Linked DNA regions of Arabidopsis thaliana. The protein of the gene in region 2 interacts with the protein of the main gene of each other region in a pairwise test. Each region holds a gene or a part of one and is shown on either strand. Other genes may lie near its edges. The genes, in order: AtHB23, ZFHD1, HB22 and HIPP21.

Region 1 (6,550 bases), about 17 Mb from region 2:
AAAACTCAGAGAAAGTAAATAAAACTTGGATGCAAGAATTGAAATAAAAATTATCATATCCAATGTAGCAAATAAAAAGTTTCATATACAGGACAAAAGATTAAAAGTAAAACAGAGAGAAGATGGGAAGAAGAAACAGAGGATAGAGACATTGCAATGAGAAAGAAAACAGGGCAGAACAAAAACAACATAAAAGACAAAAGTTGAAGTAATATGAGAATGGTCAAACAGAAACAAACGTGTGCAACACTCATCTCTGATTTGGTCTGCTTTCACTTCCAAAGATGCATATCCAAAATATGGTTAATTTATTTCAATGCGTGACTCGATCACGAACATTACTTTTGAGAGATTATGGTTTAACTATATATAAGATGAAATAATTCCCATTTTAATACTCCTTAAGAGATAAGTATTTGCAGAAAATCATAGAGGCATTATAATTTGAATTGGATGTAAAGAAGCAGCGAGTAGTGACCGCAGCATCATCAAATCATCATATCATCTTTGTCTTCGTAAATAAAAGAAAATGAGAATACATATACGAGTGAAATTTCATCGACCTCCTGCGACTGGTCCCATTCATTAGTCATTGGTTGCCAGCGAATGCTAAAATTACAAAAAAAAAAACTAGTTAATTTAATATACAATAAAAATAAAACTAAATAAATAAATTTGATTTTAATCAGCAATTTAAAATAAAATGAAAAATTAAGTTTATTTTAATTAAATTAATTTGAGTTAAATTAAATTAAACTATAATAAATTAAATCTAATAGTATAAAATTAAAATTTATTTTAAGTTAATGAATTATCTAATTAAATTTTTTTAAAATAAATGCTTAGTTTCTTAAGAATGTATAGTACATAACAAATGGAATATAAAATTCCATCGAAGAAGTAATTGATACTTTCCGCATTACATTCCTGTGGTCAATGTATGTTCGGCGTGTCCATTGGAAGTGAATACTTCATTAGGGAACTAAACCTCTATGCACATGGCCACATAACAAGTTCTTCTTTACAGGTAATTATTTATTTGGTTAGAGTCATTGAATTATTATGTATTACATTTTAAAACTAATTGTTCTTAGAGAAGTGGAATTGCGTGTTGGCATATGAAGAACCGTCACCCTAAATGTCAAAGATTTAAAATTTGCGTATAAGAAAATATCCTTAGAATATTACAGTAACCAATAAAACATTAGATTAAGGAAATGCACATGATCCCATGAAGATTCTTGAATTAATTAGTCCAAAATGACACATTTTACAAGCTTAACCTCGGTGTTTGGTTGTCAACGTTAGAATACGAAGATAATCCTCTTGCCCTCTTGGCTTTCAGATTCTGTCGCTTTCTTGTTCCCCAGTCAATTTTTATTCCACCCGGCGCTAGACTAATCATCAATGGAAACTTTATCACCTTTTCATTTTCCGAAAAGTTTTTTCTAATGCTATGCAATTCCATTTTAACTCGTTTAGTCATTGTTAATACTCGTATAGGTTTTAATTTACCAGTCAAATGAGGTCTTTTTACACATATTCGGAAAAAAAAAAAAAAAACAAAACCCATAGATTCCATGGGTGTGTGATTGCTAACATTTGTATCGGTGCGATGCAAAATACACCACTTACTAATTAAAACGCGGCTCCAATACAAGTTAAACGGTAGAGATATAATGTATAAAGAGCACCGTTACTGACACTGCTCGACGACTCCAAACTTAGTGCCTTGGTGGTTCACAACTTTTGTAAGTCATGGTGTGTGTTATTAATTATTATTATTTTTTAATTAAAGGTCCGAATGGCGACTGCGTTTTGCGGTACGGAAGAAGTGCGGTGCGGTTCAAATAGTAACAAAAATATATAAATACATATGTATATGTAGAGATTTTGACACTGTTGCGGTGCGGTTTTGGGTACGGTGTATGTCACCATTCATAGCCTAAGAGATGGCTTATATGAATAACAAATTTGGAGTCGTCGGGCAATGTCAGTGTCGATGAAAGGGTAAAAAGTGTTGGGTCCATTTTCAGAAAGAGAATGACCACTTTCCAACCCTATTTGTTTGCATCCTCTCCTCGGAATCTGTAAATTGATGCTCTTTCTTTCACACACTTCACATTTTACTTCAACCGTGCCATTTAACTATATGATTTCTACAGTTTATTGTACCGCTAATCGTAATTAATGATCTATTTTTAAGATCATGTCTTCTATTTTTGTTCATCTTATAGACTTAATTATGACATAAGCATAATTTGTTTCATGGAAAAGTCTTTTTGGGTGGGTTTTTAAAATTTTTATTTCTTAGAGTTTTCTGGATATTAGTTGTACGATATAAAAGCACATGGTTCAGACTTTTTTTAATGTCTAATCATATGGCCCATATGATTGATTAATTATCATATAATATGATGAATATTTCCCCCATTAATTCTCTTACATCACATTACCCAAAAAAACTACTAGCTTAGTTGGTGCATATAGACTAAATATAGATTCTTGAAACATGAATTGGTTCATCTGACCACTTAAAGAAAACGAAAATTTTAATACAAACAAGAACAGATCGACCACATTCAATTGTATTGTTGCTGGTCAAGCCATGGCCAGAACCCAGACTGGTCATCAATTCCACAGAACATGTTACTGATACTGTTCTCTTCTTTCACCATTCTCTGTTCTGACGATGAATTCTGAAAAAACTGCATCGTTGTAGTTGTCGGTGGATGGCCTAGGGCGAATTGGCTATCGATCTCCGGTGGCCTGATGTCACCAGAAATGTTCTCACTTCTGTCACTACATGATCCTTCTGTTTCTTTGTTCAGATTGATTGATTCTATTGGTTCTCTGCTTTTCAATGCCATTACCTGCATAATTTACACAAACTATTTAAGAAAGAACGTAAAATTGCAAAATGATTCCAAATTATGTTTTGACCTAAAACAAATATATTCCAAATTATGAATTCGAAACTGAAAGAATAACATCAATAAAAAACAAAAAAGAGCATTGTTTTTATAAAATTCAACTAAAAAAGATTCATATTTTATGAAATATATGATTTAAAAAACAGAGTATTTAAGATTAAAAAAGAAACAGAGTACTTTTGTGTTATGAAGTTTCTGCTTTTACCTGAGCTTGAAGCTTTTGATTTTGAGTTTGAAGAACTTCGTTCTCATCTCTGAGACTTTCGAATTGACGCTTAAGCATGTCATAGTCTTTCTCAAGCTGCTTGGTTTTGGATCGAGCTCTTCTGTTTTGGAACCATATAGCAATTTGTCTAGGTTGCAATCCCAAGGCACGAGCTAGCTCTAATTTTCGATCTGATTCAAGTTTATTACCAAGCTCAAAGTCCTTCTCTAGTGCCTTCAATTGTTCCATGTTCAATCTCCTCTTCTTCTCTCCCATCTTAGATCCATCGTCTGAATATTCTTCATCTCCGTTCATATCTAGATTACAAAACCCTTGCACGTTGTTCATTGGAGATCTTTTACCTAGAAACCCTAAAAACAGAGAAGATCTTGAGAAGTAGAAAAAAAAAGGATTAGAAATTTTGAACAAAGGTGTTAATTGAGATGATGTACCATGGAAGTCTTGAAGAAGTTGAGGGTGATCTTCTTCTTCTTGGTGATGGTTTTGGAGACTGAAATTTTCAGGGAAGAAAGCTAAGCCATTATTATTACAAGACATGTCTCTTGTTGGTTGTTTTCTTCTTCTCCTCTCCACCACCTTGTCTTGGTTCAAAGTACAGAAAGAAAACTAAATAAAGAAGAAGAAGGATGGTGGTGAAATGAATTAGAAGACTGAGTATACACCACTTATAGGCTAAATACTAGCTAGATTAGAAAATTTGGTTTTATTTTGTTTATTATATGAGTATATAAAATAGGAGACAAGACTCAAAGCCGATGAGACAGAGAGGTAGACATGGGATGATTATAGTCTTTGGAGGGGTGGAATATGGGCTTTTGTATGTTTTGGAAAATCCCTAATTTTACTACGTTGTATCCGTTTTGGTAGATTACGGATATGTACTATGTAGTTTTTCATATCAAGTATTTTTAAAGATAATTCTTGTTTTTTACGAATAGAAAGACAGATATATCATAGTCATACTAATTATATATGTATATTTTTCTATTATAGAATTTTTGAAACGAAATTCATAATAATCTCCGGACATTGTGAAAGATAGCATATTCTTGCAATTTAAGATGTTTACAGTGGTCAACCATGATTGATATTACAGTGAATTGATTAGATTATGGTCACTCAATTTAATAGTAATTTTTTCAACCACTAGATTATCATAATTAATTTATTGTGAATATATTTAATTCAGATGTGTATAATTAAATATGTACCGTAATGAACAATTTGAGTATTTGTAACAAATACTTCAAATTTTGGGAGTTTATAGATCTAGATACTCTTACCACTTTCTCTTCAAAAAAAGAGTTGAATTTAAATATGATATGTAAAAAAAACTGATATTCTTAATGAAATATTTCAAAGTTGATATCTAATTAAAATTTCTTTTAACAGCATGCCCTACATAAGCATTTGGATGGTTGCATGCATAAGTGTTCAAGTCAATGGAATTTTATTTCTAACGAGAACTAAAACTAGTGATTTTGGTCGTCAAGAAGTATATGCAAGCAAACTCTTAGAGGCCCTACATGGTATCACTTGTCTATGTCTCAATGATATGAAATGAAAGCAAACTCTAAGGTCCTACATGGTAACTCTCACTAGTCTATGATATGATTAGACTTCTTCTTTTTAAAACCTTTTACAACATAACATGACTTTTTCTCTATGGTAGGTAAACATACTTTCGGGGGACACAAAAAGCTCTTCATCACCGCAGATTGTGTTTTGACACAAAGCCCATTTTATATGCGAGGCCGGTTTCTTCCTTCTTCTTCTTCTCTTTCTCAGGTCCCCCACTTATCAACTTTCTTAGACGTTTTGGTCGGTTTTATGATAAAATACTTTAATATAGGCCCAACTACTGTATAAATTGGTCTCCCTATCAAATCATTTTGTAATCAACAAGTCTATATTCTACAAGTTTAAATATTTTTGTTGAAACTATTTTATAAATTACCACGAGTTGTTCTTTTTTGTGTGTTTTAACCTCAATTGTATTTATCTAAAAGCATAAACTATTTATTCTATGAATTTTTTATGTTGCATGAGATATGAAAAGTGCAATTCAACGACATACAAACAAACGCATATAAATAAATATGCTCAATTTTTCATTTAGTATCAAAAGGTGTACACAAAATATATATTTTTTCATTTTTTTGCTTAATAAAAAATCACATTGCAAGCCTATTCCTTCTTAATGTATTATGCAATCTTAAATTGTAGTATACACATATGGCTAAGGCCAATTGTTGAAATGGAAAAACAACTTGTATATTTTCTTGAGTATTAGTTTTTTTGGGGGGACAAACTTGAGTATTGTTTAATGTTGGTATATATGTTTGCGAGAACAAGCCAAATCACACACTACAATAACAGAAAAAGAGGAGCTTTGCGGGACGAGTACGGGGATTGGCGAGGAAGTTTTGCCCTGAATTTAGGGCGGTGCACGGCTCCGTTAGCAGAGCTTTGGGGTGTGTACTACGGGTTGGTTATAGCTTGGGAGAAGGGTATAACGCGGCTGGAGCTTGAGGTAGATTCAAAATTGGTGGCTGGTTTTCTCACGACAGGGATAGAAGACTCTCATCTGTTGTCATTCCTAGTACGTTTGTGCTATGGCTTCTCATCAAAGGACTGGATAGTCCGAGTTTCGCATGTTTATCGGGAAGCTAACCGTTTTGCTGACGAGTTAGCAAACTATGCTTTTAGTTTACTTTTAGGCTTTCTTTCTTTTGACTCAGGTCTTCCGTTTGTCGATTCGATTATGCGTGAGGATGCTGCAGGTGTTGCTGGGGCTAGACATGTGCCCATGTAATTTTTTATTTTTGGTTCTATTGAATAAAGACGGCAGTCCCTCCCGTTGGTTTACCAAAAAAAAAATAACAGAAAATGAAAGGAAGTCTAGCCAGGAACTGGGCCAAGGCTCTTTTGTTAACATATTTGGGCCTATGGCCATTATTCAAATGATTTAAAGGTTAATTTTTTTTTTGGGTCGTCAACTTAGGGTTGATTAAGTAAAGGTTGGCGTTCCGGAGTATTTTCTTATACTATAATTTAGATGGGTTTCTTGTAGAGTTTGTGATAACTCAAAACTATTTGATTTGTCAGAATAATACAAAATATGTATATTTTATTCTATACTAAATTGAGAGATTATCATTAAAAACGTGTTACCAGCTCCTAAACATGTATCACACTTTCAAATGTCTTCAAGTCATAATTAATATTTCATCATGTTTTTAAAATTCTACTTAGTCTTTGGTGCTCATAAATAAAAACAACTAATGTGTTGCCCGAAAAAAAAAATCAATGACCGAAAAAAAACGGGAACTGATACAGTACATGATTATATTTAACTTTCAGGCGCAAGAATTTCTCTGTTCAAAGAAAA
Region 2 (6,181 bases):
AGTAGTTGTAATAGTAAAGATAATTAGCGTTTCATAACTATTTAGAAAAGTTGGAAGATATAGATCAAGTAAAGGTATGATCGGGTCACGGTCGAGCCCGGACATACATGCCTATGGGGGGGCGACCAACGAAAAATATCAGCAGTTTCATGTTATGTGTAGCTGCTGGTGAACACTTGTAGCCTTATAGGTGTATTAATGAGTTTGGGTAACATGTAGAATTGTAGATAGTCGCGTGAGAGATTTTGGTCTTCGACCGTCCAAACATGGCCAAGTCACGGTCCAAAAACAAAATTGATTGACTATTATACGAGAGCATTTGGCAGATGCTCGTGTTACGTTGAAATTGAAAATTCCTTTTTAATTTCGAGTGCGATCGTTTATTAGTCCTTTTCTTTTAGGTGTTAAGCAAATTAATTATCATTTTCGTTTCATTTTCAACGTGCAATAGAGATGCAAGGCTACACGTGTCTCAATAAATTTGGACCAGACATTGATGCTGACGTATCCCATCCTCTTTTAATGTAGGTAAAATGGAAACTAGATTTAATAAATGGTGATTGGTGCATGTTTTATCTTATAAATTGTAAAGAAGGTAAAATGATTTTGTTTACTTTATAAAAGAAACTTATTTATTTTATTTTACTTCAAACAAAAAATTGACTTATTTAACCATTTGACTCATTTAAATGTGTTTATATACATCTTAATCACTACCTTATACATCTCCCAACCCAAGAAGACCTCTCTTGATAATCATTTATCTAACATAAATACACACTAGATAGATGATAAAGATGTTCCATGTGGTGATCAACTTATCAGTGTCCTTACCAATCCAAAGTAAAGCATGATGAGTTTTCCTGAGCTGCTTCGTCTCTGGCTTGGCTCAAAATTGCCACCGTGACTATACATATCGATTTTGGATGCAAGATCCCCACTGAAGGATTCTGATCTTTGACTTGGATTATGGTATGCTTCAACGGTTATACTTATACTTGACCAAGTCTCCGGTTGGTGAAAGACTTAACGGATCCCTAAGATACTTGGTTCGATTAGTGTCCTTTAGTGTGTTATTGGGTCTAGTCTCAAAAATCAAAAACTACAATGGGCTTTAGCTATAATGGAATTTTTTACATTGCTTTCCTCTTTGCATATTCCAACAAAAGAAAACATCTAACTAATAAAAACCTTTTTTTTTGAAATATCATCTAAAAAATGTGATACACGAAGACATGTTACATACTGTTGGTATGGGGATTATCCGTTGCTACTTTTTTCATCATTATGTAACATGTCTTCGTGTATCATATTTTTGATCCACTGATATAAGAATTTGATATCTACATCATCAATTAATCGGACCACTAACATCTAAAATCGATATTAGCTAGGTATTGGAATATTGTCCAATCGGAATCTTAATTAGTAGCATACAAAAAATTCAATCATCCAACCATAAACACATATACCGATCTATAATGTAAATTATTTTATCCGCCAAATGCATGTTAAACAATTTGTGTACCATATATTGATCATTAATCATTGCATGCAGTTACTCGTATCTACATAGAGCTTTTGCATACATTGATCTATCTGGCATGGATATTCGTACCGGCCTTTTGTTAAGGCTTGGGCTTCGTTACTTCGTACATACATGGTAAAATACTTTGTCTCCGGCATTGAACTTACGACCATTTATACGTGATAAAGCATTCGCTATGATTCGTTAATACATGATGAATGAAAGAAAAAAAACGAATTTTTAATATCAGTGGTGCGGGAAGAGCCAAATCATTGCACATAGTAGATATTTTAGTAATCGTAACATCTGCATTGTACTTAATTAGGATAAATAAGCAAGATTGGTGTTGCCAAAGCTTATCCCTAAATGGAAAGAGATAAGCCAGCATTTTAATAACTTTTAATCATATCATATAAATTAACAACAAAAATGTGCCGCCCAGTGACCTAATTATATTCCGCCACGCCATAGTTTGTTGCAATTCGTAATAACCACGTCGTCGTATCTTCATTAAGCAAACTTTACTTACTCTATCTCTAAAGTTCAGGAGATTTATTTCTAATAATACAGAAGATAACATTGAATAATCAGAAAGTAAACAAAGAAACGAATCTTTTGATCTCTACGATCACAATTAGCGCTTATGCACTTACTATAATTAGAAATGGTCTATCAAAATTCGTTTCAACCTCCGATTTAAAAACTTATTTATTACCAAACCCATTTGTGATCTCTGACCACATCTCTGTCAAAGTGATGAAAATAGAAAAGATCAAACCGCATAAATATTTATATCAAGATCGATTACATGTTAGAGAAAAGACACTATTATATGATTTTAAACCGGTTAATGCTCATATTTTCCCAAATTAAAGTATCCTAATTCGGTTTAACCCGAATCTTGAATCTTTCTTCAAGAAGATGAAGACCCATCACCATCATTGCTGTGAGTGTTCAGACACAGGCCATGTTCGATCTCTCTGATCTTGCCATTGAGAAGTGAGTACTTGTTGTTATGCATCCACACTTTAAGAACTCCTCTCTCAATCCCAACTTCGTTACAAAACTCTCTCACCGACTTTTCATCACATCCGTTGATTTTCCAACCAGCTTTCTCTGCGAAGGCTCTCATCTTGATCTTCTGCTCCGGCGTGAATTTGGTTCTTGTTCGTTTCCTCATTGCTCCTCTTGAACTGTTCTCTGACCTAACCACCGTTGGATCTTGATCTGACGGTCCAGGGAAACCGGAGCTGAGAGAGAGAATCACGTGATGTGGAGGAGCTGAGGTGTAGTAAGAGCAAGGAACAGGAGAAGACACGTGACGAGACGGCGGCGACTCAGTGCCGGAGGGAGAAGAAATCGGAGGCGCGGTGAGGAAGTTGAGATTCTCGGAAGGGTCACGGCGGTGGAAGTTACGGTGGCAGCCACAAGCAGCGCAACGGAGAGAAGAAGGATCGGTGGAAGTAGCCGTGGGACTCGGCATAAACTCGCCGCAACCGTCGAGAGCATGGCCGCCGAGATTAGCCGCGTGGTTTTTCAAACACTCTTTGTAACAAACACCCATTTCTCCGGTGACAGTTAGTTCTCCGGCGATGGGAAGAGAGTTTAGAAGTTGTTGTTGTGGTTTGGAAGACAAATCCATAGCTTTTGTTTAGTTCTGTCTTTATAGTGTGTTTACTTAAATCTTTTGCTTTTGTGATTAATGAGAAGATTAGGTTTTGTAGTTTTATTTTATTTATTAAAAAAGGATAATTATGTAAGTGCATGTGACGATGATGTAATTATATCGGTAAAGAACATGGCAGTGATGAAATATAATTAGGACTTGGAAAATAATAATAAGTGCTTACTCACAAACGTCCAAAACATACAGCAAAAGAAAGAAAACACTCACTGTATATCAATGAAAATTCACAACTTCTTTTTTACTTTTTTTTTTTCTTGTTTTGGTGAAACAGAGATTTTTTTGAATATTTTAGTCACTAGTTTTGATATCTATTCATACGTTATATAGACAGACTATACACTTTGAACCTGTATAAAATATTGAATCTGAGGTCTTATCAGAAAGCAATGATTTTACGGGACATTTGTAAGATATGGGTTTTCACTTTCACCAGTGGGTAACTTGTTGTGTAAAAGAAATAAAAAAGATGAATAATTTCTGAGCGTGACATAAAATTTTAATTAATCGAATATATTCGAAGGAGAGGATGGGATTAGTTGGAAGATTTGAGTCCAAAGTGTATACGTGGCAATAGCCCATTACATGCATCGTACTAAAGGACAATTACAGCTGCCCTGCAGTTTCATATTCCACTGTACATATTACAGTTTCTTATTTTTAAGAGTTTACGTTACCACCCCATACTTCTGTTAATTTCACTGTATCACCCCTGCATTTTTATACTAAAACGTTTTAATCTTTTCAATTTTGATTCTGTTTAGGGACCATTTTCTTATCTAGAGGTCTAAAATCGTAAATTTTCCTATAACGATAATCTAACTAAACAATAAAGTCAATAAAATTTCTTACTAGTATAGGTATTACGTGTTCTAGTGAAATATTTGACTTATGCTAATGTACTAATTCGTTCCAAAAGGAAAAGTGCTAAACAACTAGAAGATTTTGTAGATTACCGAAAACACCTCTAAAAGAACTTCTTTCGCACGAATACTTAATACTTGACTCAATCGTGGAGCAAAGAAGAGTTTGTTGTGACAATTGCCAAACTTCATGTTTCGTAATTAATCATGAAATTTAAATGTCTAAATTCCTTAACCACCCTTTGGAAAGACTCTTATCTCTTACCGACCTTTTATTCTCACTTCTTGTCATTAGTGTGGCGCCGAAATTTAGTGTTCTTTCGCATTTTGCTTACGTTATTGATTAGCTTTTGGGTCACAATTATGTGGTGTATGTCTTCAAGTCTTCCTCTTCTAAGTACCCCACAATTATTTTGAATCTTCATTAGCCATTTTCCATATCGATTCTTATAGGGTTTGTTTTTACAACAAATATAGTTTCTATCAAAAAAATAAAAATTGAAGGAACATTTTGTGACTAGTTATTGTTACTTTTATGATGATCCATTCATGAAAAAAATGATGAACCTTTTCTTATAAGTTACAATGTTACTACATGTGAATGTTATTGGTAAGATCAAACTGCATGGCTAATTTTGTTATTAATTATAATTACTAAGGTCTTTACTCTTTAGAATTAAAGTAACAAAACAAATCAGACATCAACATTCATTTCGTTAAGCTTTGGATACTCGTTTAATTAACTTAAAATCTTATTGAAAGGCATATAAATTATTCATTAATGTATAGTTAAGAGTCTGATCCCTGAAATGAGACTAATTAAAGCATTGTTTGCGAGGAGAATAAATGAATAACAGTTGGTGTTACGTTTTGTCGTTTATCATAAACCTAGTCACCAATCACGCTTAATTAGAATCCAATTTACAACAATCGGGAGATATTTGACCATACAATAAAAATAATTAAATAAACGTATTTATTGTTTTACTAATAATTCGTTGACAGAGACTTTGATTTAACAATTTATTTACTCGTATCACAATTAGAATCATAAAGACGGATTAGAACAATCTCCTAACGATCTTGTCAATGACCGAAATAGCACGCGCATCCCGCAAACCGGCCACTAAGGTTGGAGAAAAAGTCATTTGTAGCCGAAATTTTAAATGTCATATGATCATGGGGTCATTTTTGCGTAACGTTTCTATCTATGTATATACCTATTGAATAAGTAGGTAAATGACACAAAGTAAGACTTAATTAGATAAATAACAAATGCTAAAATTCACTACTAGAAAAATAAACAGAAACAAAGACTAGATAAAAAACGATAACTACCGTAAGCAATTTGTCTCTAAAGAGACGTGGTCACAAATATGCATAGCTAAACCGGAGATGCAAGGATACAAAGAAGTTAGTTTTTCCAAAGCTACTCCAAAGTATGATGTTGTCACTTGACTGGTTGTGAAAAGCAAAGTTGCAACATAATAAAGAATGATTAAATGGAACCAAAATGCGGATACAAATTGCGTATTTTGTAAAAATCCGTTGGAGACGAGAGAGCATTTGTTTTTTCAATGCCAGTATTCGAGAAAGGTGTGGGAAGAGCTGATAACTCAGACAAAATAGAAGGATATCACGAGAGAGCTTGCGAGTAAAGATCTTGATTCCACAACAAAATTTATTCCCAAGTACTGTTTCAAAACACGATACTCTTTATTTAGTGATAAAGAAATGAGAGGAGGCACGAGACCAATCTTCGACCACGAAGAAAATCGTTAAATTGATTGACAAGAACATGAAATCCGTTTGAGCGTACTAAGAAGAAGAGGTGAAGATAGATCATAGAATCTCTTAATAATTTATTTTAAGAAAAATTTACATTCATATGTATCAATGTTTTTTTGTTTTGTTTTTGAATACAATTTAACATTAGATTCAAACAAGATACATATTTTTTTTAAAAACTATTTTTATATTTCCATCATTAAAATTGTATAGTAAAATTATAAATCCATTTTATTGATGGACAACGATAAATCTATTAATTTATGCAAATTTTTTCTTAAAGTTAAAAGATGGATTTAACTTTAATCATCGAGCACA
Region 3 (5,712 bases), on a different chromosome or scaffold from region 2:
CTGTTGAAAATGCCAATTTGCTAAAATGAGCTTCTTTTGGTTCAAATCTGTTTATTTCCCGATCAGAAATGTCTGCAAATTGTGATTTTCTGGTACGAGATATGGCTTGTGTTCGGCAATAACTAGATCTTATTGTTTCCCTTCACTTTGCAACATTTTTGTTTGTAATTCTGTACATTGAATTAATTGTGTTTGGTCTCTGTTTCAAATCATTGTGACTCTTGTGAATCGTATTGTTTCTCTCATTGGGCAGATATCTAATTAGCCATTTACTAGTTCTGCTTTTAGGACATTGTAAAATGAGATGGCTTTGAATGTGTGTCCTGTGACTGTTTGTGATTGTGACCAGGGTTGGTTTTGGATTATCACTAAACCATTGATTATCTTTGTATTGTAGGACTGAGCTTTGCCGATTCAGTGGCCAGAAAATTTACCCTGGTAGAGGGATCAGATTTATCCGATCGGACTCTCAGGTACTTTATTTTGGTTAAATGTGTGCTCTACTTGTTAAGAAGAGTCTTATCTGTTGTTACTATGTATCTGTATTGATTAAATCATCTTTGGTTTTTATGGTTGTATTAGGTGTTTTTGTTTCTCAACTCCAAATGTAAGAGGTATTTCCACAACAAGTTGAAGCCATCTAAGCTTTGCTGGACTGCTATGTACCGAAAGCAGCACAAGAAGGTAATGTTTCTTTTTTTAGTTGCTTCTTGTTTTCATGATTTAGTACTATTGAATTCTGTTGTGATCTTTGTTTTCTCTCTTCTTACAGGACGCAGCACAAGAGGCTGTGAAGAGAAGGAGACGTGCAACTAAGAAGCCTTACTCAAGGTCGATTGTCGGTGCTACTTTGGAGGTTATTCAGAAGAAGCGAGCAGAGAAGCCTGAAGTTCGTGATGCCGCTAGAGAAGCTGCCCTACGGTTTGTTTCTTTCCCGAAGACAGTCACTATATACATCAATTTTTTTTTGAAACTGAAATGTGATTGATTCAAAGCTAATCTGATGATTATGCAGTGAGATCAAGGAGAGAATCAAGAAGACCAAGGACGAGAAGAAGGCAAAGAAGGTCGAGTATGCATCAAAGCAACAGAAGTCACAAGTGAAGGGAAATATCCCCAAGAGTGCTGCACCCAAGGCTGCTAAGATGGGTGGTGGTGGAGGCAGACGTTGAATGGAGCTATAGAGTAGCCCACTCTTCTCTCTTCACTTATCTTTCTTTCTTGTTTTGACATTGTTTTGTTTTGTCAGCCATTTTTTAGTTTTGCACCAGATCTAATATATTCAGTTTATGAAAACTTTTTGTTTGGTATCAATCCCCTTGTGTTTTACTCGTAGATCCAAAAACTGCTAAATAGAATTTTCAACTTGGCTTATTCTAGGACATTATTAGTGGTCTGAGCTAAATTGAGCTTTGGTTAAGCATTGATTATGGATCTAGAGTTCTTGAATCACGATGTTTCTTCATTAACTTCAACTTAGTAAAGAACCCTTTACACGAAAATCACTTAAACAATACTTAATACAAAGGAAAACAGAATCAGCCATAGAAATTGTTGCTTGTTTGGGACTAAAGCTACAAATTTGAGCCATTTTGGAGATATAACTGAAGTGGAACTTATATACTATTGCCTCAGCTGCAGGCTTTTTCCCAGGTTTGTTTCTTCTTGCATGAACTATCCTCTCTTATCATTGATTTCAGTTGTATTAGCTGTTGAAACAAAGTGAAAGTAACTCAATGGATTGTAACTCGAAAGCTTATTTATTAAGTTAGTATTGATCACTGGAGTAATTACCTCTTCTTGTAGCAATTCCTTTTCTCTAGAGACAATATCAAACTCTTGTCTTAGTGATTCATAGAGATGCTCAAGTTGTTTGTTCTTCCACCTGGCTTTCCTGTTCTGGAACCAAACCGCAATCTGTCTCGGCTGCAGCCCCAGTTCTTTGGACAGCTTCATCTTCCTGTCCGGATTCAGCTTCATCTTCCTGTCCGGATTCAGCTTTATCTCTTCTTGGAAACTTCTCTCGAGGAACTTTAGCTGCTCGCTCGTCATCTTCTTTTTTTTCTTCTCCTGTCCATTAAAACTGTTGCTTTCTTCTCCATAGCCACTCTCTACCATTGCTAGAGGAACATGAAGTATATCTTGTTGTGCACCCATCATTGTACCTAAACATCTGTTGTCTTGGTTTCCTACAAATTCAATACAAGACAGAGAGAGACTTGTAAAGCGACATACAGTTGAGTGAATGATTAAGCATTAAGCATATAAACTAGCTCTACTAAAACCTAGTACTATGGATGCATGTTACCTGAAAAATGGTCAAAGTTATAGAAAGGAGAGATGAAGCTGGAAGAAGACGCGCCATCGATGAAGGAGCTGCTCCAATATTCCATCTTCTCTTCTTCTTTTTTTTTACCTCTTTTGTCTATCTCTGCTTACAACAATCACTTTCAAGAGACTATTTTTTACCTAAACAAGGAAATGAGCAACTTTGGGTGTTTGATATGGGTGTATCTTTATCACTATATGCATATGTTAGAACATGCAGGAACATTATATATAGATAAGTAAATGTGGTTGAAAACGCTAGGGCTTCTGTTTTTAACTTCGGGTAACTAATTGGTCACTATCAAGTAAGATAAATATATGTGTAAATGAATGGTTTCATTAGTCTGACCGGTAACAAATAGTACTCCGAACGATGAGGGTAAGAATAGGCGGTGTTGAGCAAATGCATTATACGATACAAAACGAGCTAAAAAAAGTTAATGGTGATTATTTAGTTTGAAATTTTTGTTAAAAATTGATTATTATTCTCATATTCTCACATGACCTTGTATGTTTCCATAAGTAAGATATTTACATAAGTAATAACGTAGGTATTTCGTATTATACGTGACCAATTAATGTGGATTTTAGTATATATAAAAGAATAAAATAAAATGAAAGTAATGTGAGTTGAGAAAGGAACAGTAAGAGTAAGAGATAGAGGTGAAAAAGAAAAGAGAGAATGGTCCAGATTCTACATTTGTACAAATGTCTATCACTTTCTCTACCTTAATTAACCAACCAATCTGACATATATGAATTCAAACTTCTACTCTCAATCTGTAATATAGCCTCCAGTTTTCATCTCTTTGTATGTATATGTATTTGTAAAGTCCCCACAATCTTTATTTAACACTGTGGAGCTGCAGGGTGCTACTCCAACAGATAGATCAGAAGGGTCCAATTCTGATCCTGACAAAATTTGGGAGCACACAGTGCACTAGTGAAAATAGTATCATCATATCGATCTACGTGTTTTTTTGGTATGATCCGGCGATAAAGTATAGTTAGAAATTGAATGATGCAACTTATCTTGAAGAAATGGTAAATGCTTATATGGTTAGATAAAGATGAAGTTTCTAGCACTAGTTATGTTTCTCTAAATCAAATTCTACGGTTTAAACGTTAATTGTGACTGACATAAGTATATTTTGTTCCATTTCCAAAGCACGTAACAACTACATCAGCCAATTTTTGATGTGATTTCAAGATGGGGATATTTTTTCTGTATCAAGTCATTGGATTGAATAAAAATAAAAGATTTTCAAAGAAAAAAATCTTAACCGGTGATCCTAATTTTTTTAAACTGACTTTTTTTTAATAATTTATTTCTCCCTTGTGTATTAGTTTATACATCTTTACCAGAAACAAAACTGTATCTAAATCATTATTAATTTTTCATAAGCATTTGGAAATATTGTTAATTATATATATTTTTTATATAACATGTGGTATCGAAAACACGTATAAGTTGGGAAACGGAAAAAGAGCCACTAGTCCCATATGATTTTGCTTAAAATAAAACAATGTAAACCAAATAAATTTGTAATAGATTATAATCATAAAAATTGGTTTAACTTTTCGTGTTCACATATGTTAATGAAAGCGAACAAAAATCCTACAAACGCTAGAAGATAAGAGTAATTAGTTAAAGGCTCTTTTGAATCCCGATCGAAGATATATTTGATCATCAATGTTGGAAGGGATCAATAATGAGAATGTAACTACAATAAAAGTTACATATAAACAGAATAATTAACCATCAGGAGCATGATGGATAATCAAAGATGCCAAAGAGATCTACTTATTATCTGCTAGTTCTAAGCTAAATCAAGAAGCATCTCTGTTAGAAGCTGAAGGTATAAAGCCTGTTAAAATCTATTGAATTCAACACTTTGGGATCGAGATACGTAACTATTATTGTCACAATCCAATGAATAGAGAGAGTGTAGAAGTGATAAATTGAGTGAGTAAATACTAAATAGTACTACGAAGAAAGCTATATTATGATAATCTAAAAACGAGGACCATATAGTATAAAGTTACAGAGAAATAAAGCTCAAGAGAGCAGCGTGTTGTGTCATTTACTGAATGTTTTCGTATAAAGAAGAAGCTCACTAGAATTGTTTCCTTCTTTATAGGTCAAAATTCCATGTTAGTTAAACACCAAAACCAACGGTTAATGTTTTCAGTATATTACGTACTTGCTAAACAGAGAGCATGGTGAAATCTAGTATAAGAATTCTTTTTACAGACAAATTTGACAATAACATCTTTCTGACATGTACTTTGGCACTGCCAAATGCCAACAAGTGGAAGGCAGAAGTCACAGAACCTGACTTTCCATTTGCCATTATTACCTTTTTGGTAATTTAAGTCGAAACTGTCACGTGTCTCCCCGTCGTGAAAACGAAATCAACATTCAATACGAAAATAGACATTGGAATAACAACTTAAACTACGTTTTAACAATTACCCTAACATTAAAATGGTCCCTTTTAAAGAATGGTCCTTACGTTTGAACAAGACCCTTTTCTTTCAAGTTACAATTGTCAAAGCCTATCTATTTTCATTTTTTTTAAGTAATCACAATTTGTACCCACTTTACATGTTCATATTGAATCGACTGGTGATATGAAATGGTACAAGTTTTTAACTATAGTATGAGATACAAGCAAAAAATGGACTTTGAACCGGAATAATTGTGGTGTGATACTTTTTTTTGTTAACACAAGGAACATATGGAAACTTTCAATCCTTATTTGATCTGCCAGAGAGAGAATTGTTCTAAAAGATTCACAAAACTGAGAGCCAAAGATCAACAGTTTACGAAAAACAGGTCAAATAACATGATCACAAACCAAGTATTGCAATGCTCTTGATCATCTACTTCTGTGTTAACACTTTGATATCTACTTGCTAATTCTACTTAAGTTCAATGAGTTTCGGAAATATTGTACCTTCATTCTTCTGTTTCAATCCAATTCCAGTATCTGTGATCTTCGATTCCAGTTATCGCCATTCCTCTTGCCGAAATCGCCATACAAAACCGTCCTGTCGATCTATCAGCAATGGAAACAATAACTAACATTCGAAGTATAATTGGGCCGACCACTGTCAACAATGGGCCGATTTATAGATGGACAAAAATAGAATTGGCACGCCCGGTGGGACTCGAACCCACAATCGTTTGATTAGAAGTCAAACGCCTTATCCATTAGGCCACGGGCGCTTTTGTACTATCACCTACTTACATTTATATATATACTAAAACGATAAATCTCTTTGAAAAAGATTAACATACAATTACTAGAAATAACAGAGGCAAATCATGTGTATAACGGGGACATAACCTTAAAGAATAGATTTGGACAAAGTTTTGAT
Region 4 (6,500 bases), on a different chromosome or scaffold from region 2:
GTCTTTAGTTTTTTTGGTTCGGATTAGTCCAAGTAGTAGACCAGGTGTTCGTGGAAATGCCGCAGAGAGTTTATTTGTTCATGACTCTTTTAAAGTTTAGTTTTTTTGGAATTGAGTACACACTGGTGGGAAGGTGATATTGTTTAAAAGTAGAGTCTCAATATATGTGACACTTCGGTTGTTTCAATGTGTTGCAGCAACTCGATTTTATGCAAGTGGAAGAGGAAAAGACTACAATCTATTTGGTAATGTGAAACCAGGTGATGATGACTTTAGAAAAACATGGGAGAAAGAAATGGAGGATGATGATACTCTATGGTCAGGAAGTGAAGACGAAAGCAATGATAAGACAAAACAAGAAAGCGGAAGAAACCGTCTTGAAAAAGAGATTAAGAAAGCTAGACAACAAGCTAAGGATAGCACCGATCAAATTGATGGAGATGATAGTGATGAATTGTACAGCGTTTGGTCAGGAAGTGATGAGGAAAAAACGCTGTGGACTGGCGATGAAGGTGATGATGACGACGATATTCCAACAGAGCCACGCCCGAACGAGGCATCTGATAAATACTTAGATAAGTTGTTTGAGTTTGAGGAGAAACCAAAGTACAGGACAATCTCAGAGTTGTTGAAATCTGAAAATGAACCTGAGGAGCTTTCACCCGGTAAAAAGGCGAGGAAGCTTGCTGTTGAGAACGCGTTGAAGAAACTGAATAAAGGGCCTGATGGGCGCTACACAAACGTGTGGGAAGTAATGAGTGATGTTGACATTCTGATTGGAGCATTTGAAAACATTATCTCGGGACCTGAGTATGAAGAGCTAAGAAAAGGTGGACCCAAGAGACTGAACATGCAGTTCTTCAAGGATATACAAACTCGAATGAGAGATCCAAACTTCAAGTTCACACCTGAAATAAAGTTGAAGCCAAAGAGTAAACTAGTGCCTAGGAAGAAATGGCAGAAGGCACAGTCCAGAATAAGGAAAGCGAAGAAGCGGTAAAAGCTCCACGCTAGTTCAACGATTTCGATAGATTTAACAGGTGAGTCCATTCATTCTTTCAAACGATTGATTAAAGTATCAAATCCATTTCTTTAAACTAATCTTATATTGATTCAGAATGATCTTTGTAGGTTTAAAGCATGCTTAGAGAACACCAAACAGCCTCCAAAAATATCCACTCAAGTCTTATTTCATCGTAAATTTGTAATGCGGTACCGTGAGTAAACAGCTTTCCTTTACCGTGATTCTGGTCTTTATGATTCCTTCTTCTAAAGAAAGAAGCTTTGAAAGAAAAGCTAAAGATGCTTTGGTCCCTCTTGGACATTTTTTTGGGGAAGAAGAATACAGCTTTTTGCATTCTTTTGATCTTCAAAAGTTTTCTTTTTTTCCTTTGGTGTTAAAAAGATTGGAACTTGTAAATGTGACACTCTCTTGCCCTTTGAAGCTTATTCTAGTCAAAATAGTAAAAATGAAGCAATTTGCCTAACAAATCACATGATTCTGATTTTTGGGTCTCTTCCTTAATATTCTTCTTTAATTATTTTATTAATGTATGATTATTGTCAAAGTGTCATTCATGTCCTATAGAAATTAGACAAACATTGGTTGCTTAATTGGTCCATTATACCTATTTTTCACTTTTAAGATTCTACATAGCTTATGGTTATTGATTTGACTTCTTCTTGGACAAAAAGTATTGTTCGAAACATAAACCATCAAATAGATTCCGGTGTTGTCTCTATAATTTTATTACAAAGTTCCTACATTACCTTTTGATTTTAACAAAAGTATACAAATTACAAAATGGAGATTATGAGTAATCTTTTGGTTGGTTGGCTCACATGATGGAACAAGCGGCGTGGACGTTGTCGTCGCTGAAGAGGGAAACGTAATTTTCCTCGGGAGCGTTTGCTGTTGGAAACGATTGAGTGGGATTACGGATGTGGCCTGCAGGTGCACGTTTATCGTACATGCCAGGAGCAAAAGGGTAATAGACCATATGTTGAGGTATGTAAGGCCAAAACTCAGCCTTTTTACCGGTGCTCTTCACTCTCTTCAACACCTTGTTTGGGTCCACGTGTCCGTTCACCGTTATCCGGCTCTGTTTCCGGTTCACCTCCACCGATTTCACCCCTGTACCGGTCGGTTTCAACATTCAAGTTTTTGTAATATTAAAATGTATATCTATATCAGTAAAATTGTTTTCTAGTTTGCTATAATATCATACTATGTTGGAGTTTAAGATTAAAAGTATTTTTCTTACCAAATTGTTTTACTACCATATTTATGATCTTTTACTATATTTTTTAGGCTACAAAATTTATTTTATTAGAAAATTATTATAAAGTAAAGAAACTAATAACTCCATGGAAAAATGTGATTGGATCATATTTACTGATAATGCTTCATGGGACTCTTTTAACATATGTAAATAAAGGTAGATTCGGGACCATTTGACCCATAATATTTTCGGACTAAAAGTTTGGTACAGTTTTTCCAATCAAAGGATTGAGCAAATGATTAGTAATTGTAATTATATATATTCTGGCCAGCTATAAAATTGCAATTTTAAGAGAGGAATAAGAATCTTTAAAAGAGAAAAGCATGGAGAATAAAGAAAATGGAAACAAAAAGGGAAAAAAAGAGAGATTGAAGAAAGTTTTGATTCAAAGTCAGAGAGAGAGATGGGGAAAGAGAACCTTTCATGCGACGAACCACGTTTCTAACTCTCCTTTCACAACCATCACAGTCCATTTTCACCTTGATATCCACTGTCTACACAAAACCCATTTAATTACCAATTATTAAAATAAACATGCATATTTTATATTCAGCAGTAATGAGTTTCTAGATTCGACTTTCGACCAATTGTGTTAGCTATGTATAACGAATTGTTTTTTGATGAAGTTTTGAAGAAACGTATTTAACAAAAACCATATTCACATTTTTGAAACGTAACATTTGAATTTGTGCATGGGACGTATAACGTATTAGCATATAGTTTTGAAGTTAACCAAAACAGTTTGAGTATAAAGATAATAGAGTATTATGTGTGATATAAAGAATGAAAAAAAGCAGAGTAGCTAGCTTGTAAAAGAGATGAGAGAAAGAACAGACCTGCAATGGCTTACGCTTGGTTTTGGCATTAGCGTATGTATATGAACAAAAGCTAGAGATATAATCAAATGCACCCATTCTCTTTTTTCGTCAGCAAAAAAACTATGTGTATATGATCAAATGTGTGTAAATTAATATGTATATTGTATGTTTGTGTATATATATGTATGTGAGTGTTTGTGAGTAGTGTATATATAGGGAGAGAGAAGAAGAAAGAGGCTTTCTTAATAGAGAAGGAGAAGAGAGTTACGTGACATGCATTCAAGATTCCATGTACATATGTAGGCTTTCTTGGATTTTTTTTGAGTAGTCTATTTTTCAGAATAAATTCAATATTTTTTCACGATAAAAATGTTGTAGAAGCAAAAGGTTGATTAGGAACAAAAGTGAGAAGGAAAAAAAAAACTATGGTAAACCAATGATGAAATAAAATCAATTATTTTTAATTCCGGTTTTTTTGTCCTTATAATTAAGGATATATCAAAACAAATTTGATGAGATCAACAAAAAACATAAAAACATTTGATGAGAGCTGAATCTTGTCCTAGTCATCAATTCGAGTTAAAACTGAAACAAGAGACCTCTATTATAGATATGTTTGATTTCAGTTTCTTTAATCATACTATAGTGTAATGAGAATTTATTGGCGTTATTAAACAAAACTCTTTTTTTTATTGACCTTTGCTTTGGTTTCGATTCAAACGAGTGTGGCTTCTGCATCACCCAATTCTTATTTTTTAGAAAGAAAGTCCCAATAATTGCCCAATATGATTCCATCAACTTAAAAATCATTAAAACTATATATAAATACTATTATGAGATGCTTTAAAAACACTAAAATGAATGGTGACCGTTATTTATTTTTTGAATAAAATCATAGAACAATGCTAAAACTTGAGATGCTTTGTGATACAGTGTGATGTTGAGTTACAAATGATCTTTGACCTTCCCTTTTTCTACTAATGGATATATTAGCATTTTTGGGATATTTTCAATATAGGTGTATAGTTTGTAGATATAGATATTTGCGTGATATTTAGATAATTAGATTGTTCTAACGATAACAACTAGGAAACTAAATGACATAACCCAAAATTAATGATCTCTTAAAAGTTTGTTTAAATGTTAGGAGGGTGTTACGAGTACGAGGAGGTGATGCGATAAGGTTTGACGGTGATGAGTTTCAACAATATTTAAATGCTGATTCGTATTCATCATGAAGTTGTGGTTATGTTTTAGATTTTGCTCTAAAAATATGTGAGGCTTAAGACTGACTTGGTATTTTTTGTAATATTTTAACTTGGATAATCATTTATTCTTCTCCTTACTAATATATAGTTGCGGCTTTTTCAATGGAATCGAACTATGTTTCAGTAAGGTTAACGCAGAATAGTAAAAGGTGTACGCAGAAAACCGAGAGAAGTACAATGGAGAGAGTACGCTGACTTGACGTTGAACCTTATGCTATTTTTTGGGTAAGATCAGTTTTTATATTCTAACTTTTCTGAAACATATCAGACAATTTTTAAATCGTCTCTCGTAGATTCTAAGCCACCTGTGTTGGACACAATTCATGTTTTTTTACTGTTGTGGTCTTTTACGGCTTTAAATCGACCGTTAATTTTGTCATAAGAAATAAACAAATAACTACCACAAGTTTTCTATGTTGTCTTAAATTTTTTGCCAAAGCTTTTTCTTGGTGTATGGATAGATGTCAAATTATTAAAAAGAAAAAAAATTGATAAAATGTTGTCCACTACAGAAGGAGACCAATTTAATGGTAAGCCATACACATCTCAATTGAGAGAGAGAGAGCCATGAGATCAACAAAATCTTCTTTCTACTCGCAAGTCTTTGATGTCAACAACATAAAAAACAAATTAAAGATATCTGAAGAAGCTCCTCTTACAAACTTAAAGTAAGTTACAATCTCAAAAATCCTTAAAACACTTGAGCAAAGAAAAAAGAAAGTGTTTGTAACTCCAAATAGATCCTAAACGCATCTGTAAGAACCTCTTAAACCAGGTGCAACCATCTTTGGCAGGGTTTTAGTAGCGGTCATGGCGTCTGCAAGGTAGTTAAATACTTACTTTAATGTAGCCAGAAGTAATAATAAGATGTGTGTATGTTCTTAATCAAAGTTACCTGCGGCGATCATGATCCCTCGGTCTTTCCCTAGACCGGGACCGTGAACTGCGCCGGCTTCTTGAGTCATAGCCACGTGACTGATTATAGTTTCTGTCATGTTCTCGGTGGTCATGGTGCCTGTCACGATCTCTACTCCTGCGGTCAACATCTCTTCCTCGGTCACGGTTATCTCCTCCGTCTCTGTCTTTACTTGATTCTCGCTCTCTACTCCTCTCCTTTGATCTGAGATTGGTTTAGGTTTTCAGCAAAAATGTTGAAGATTAAAGGAAGTAAACAAACAATGTGTTCAAATGCTTGAGAAAAATAAACCTCCTTTCTTCGACCCGTTCCTTGTGAACTTTGTTCTTCTCCTCCTGAAGAAGACAGAGAGAATATAACTATACAGTCTATATCAAGAGAGAAAAGGAAAATCACTAGAAAGATTCTACTGTATATTACCTGAAGCTCTGCCAATTTGTCGCGGATCAGCATGTAACCCAAGTGAAGCTTCCCTCCAAAATGATCAGCTAACCGACGATCACTAAAGGCAGTACAACAGATTTTTGACATTGCCAAATGCAAATAACAGATTGGTGACAAAGATATAGTTTAAAGTTCCATTATTTATCTCTAACAGGCACAATAAATCAAGAAAGAACGCACATTTATTAGCTGCAAAAGTAATCCTCGTAAAACTGGGCCCAAATAGCCTGCTGGTGAAAAGGAGGTACAATAGCCGGGGTCAAATAATGAACCACTTGCAACCCAATAATCTATTTCTAGCTTTCTTATGAAACGCCACGGAACCATAAAACATAAACAAATTTAAGTAATTAAAGTTAACCTGTCATAGACGCTCAAAAATGCTCCGCATATGTCACATAGACGCAGCTTCTGGTCTGTCTGAGACAATAAGAGAAGAGAGAATGAGGACTACCAACCAACACAGTGACAAAAAATATACAGCGAGCAGAGATGAGAAAATGGTATATACTTCACTTCAAAAGCAATTTCTGTTTACGCTGTTTGACAATTGAGAACACTGAATACATGCTTCAACCAAAGCATTTTAATTGTCCTCAAACTTTATAAGCCATTACTTCTTTTTGGATACTAGGATTAGGACTATCTTCCTTAAATTCTAATGTTCATCAGACTAAACAAACTATATAAGATAATAACCTAAGAATTAAGAATCTTGAGGGCCTCTATGAGAAATGGATTTCAATATATTATCATGTCGGAGATAAGGTGA

Evidence for each region.
Region 1: the proteins of ZFHD1 (region 2) and AtHB23 interact in a two-hybrid assay, tested with the Arabidopsis thaliana proteins (one study listed by BioGRID).
Region 3: the proteins of ZFHD1 (region 2) and HB22 interact in a two-hybrid assay, tested with the Arabidopsis thaliana proteins (one study listed by BioGRID).
Region 4: the proteins of ZFHD1 (region 2) and HIPP21 interact in a two-hybrid assay, tested with the Arabidopsis thaliana proteins (one study listed by BioGRID).

Annotation. Positions count from the first base shown.
Region 1 is NC_003070.9:9,353,272-9,359,821, reverse strand, and holds AtHB23 (homeobox protein 23), read right to left. Parts: upstream 3,996-6,550; 5' UTR 3,697-3,995; coding exon 3,591-3,696; intron 3,510-3,590; coding exon 3,139-3,509; intron 2,874-3,138; coding exon 2,583-2,873; 3' UTR 2,320-2,582; downstream 1-2,319. UniProt on the Arabidopsis thaliana protein: Probable transcription factor.
Region 2 is NC_003070.9:26,179,459-26,185,639, reverse strand, and holds ZFHD1 (zinc finger homeodomain 1), read right to left. Parts: upstream 3,485-6,181; 5' UTR 3,171-3,484; coding exon 2,442-3,170; 3' UTR 2,094-2,441; downstream 1-2,093. UniProt on the Arabidopsis thaliana protein: Transcription factor involved in the up-regulation of several stress-inducible genes. Acts as a transcriptional activator by interacting with MED25 and NAC proteins. Involved in increased drought tolerance.
Region 3 is NC_003071.7:15,346,008-15,351,719, reverse strand, and holds HB22 (homeobox protein 22), read right to left. Parts: upstream 2,510-5,712; 5' UTR 2,394-2,509; coding exon 2,309-2,393; intron 2,190-2,308; coding exon 1,795-2,189; intron 1,710-1,794; coding exon 1,632-1,709; 3' UTR 1,430-1,631; downstream 1-1,429. Other genes in the region: RPL24A (ribosomal protein L24), read left to right, coding at 398-473, 583-684, 773-921, 1,016-1,172. UniProt on the Arabidopsis thaliana protein: Probable transcription factor.
Region 4 is NC_003076.8:5,752,082-5,758,581, reverse strand, and holds HIPP21 (Heavy metal transport/detoxification superfamily protein), read right to left. Parts: upstream 3,361-6,500; 5' UTR 3,197-3,360; coding exon 3,119-3,196; intron 2,777-3,118; coding exon 2,701-2,776; exon of another isoform or gene 2,157-2,700; coding exon of another isoform or gene 2,135-2,156; coding exon 1,839-2,134; 3' UTR 1,579-1,838; downstream 1-1,578. Other genes in the region: AT5G17460 (glutamyl-tRNA (Gln) amidotransferase subunit C), read left to right, coding at 198-1,000; AT5G17440 (LUC7 related protein), read right to left, coding at 5,167-5,185, 5,264-5,488, 5,576-5,619, 5,705-5,786, 6,090-6,148. UniProt on the Arabidopsis thaliana protein: Heavy-metal-binding protein. Binds cadmium. May be involved in cadmium transport and play a role in cadmium detoxification.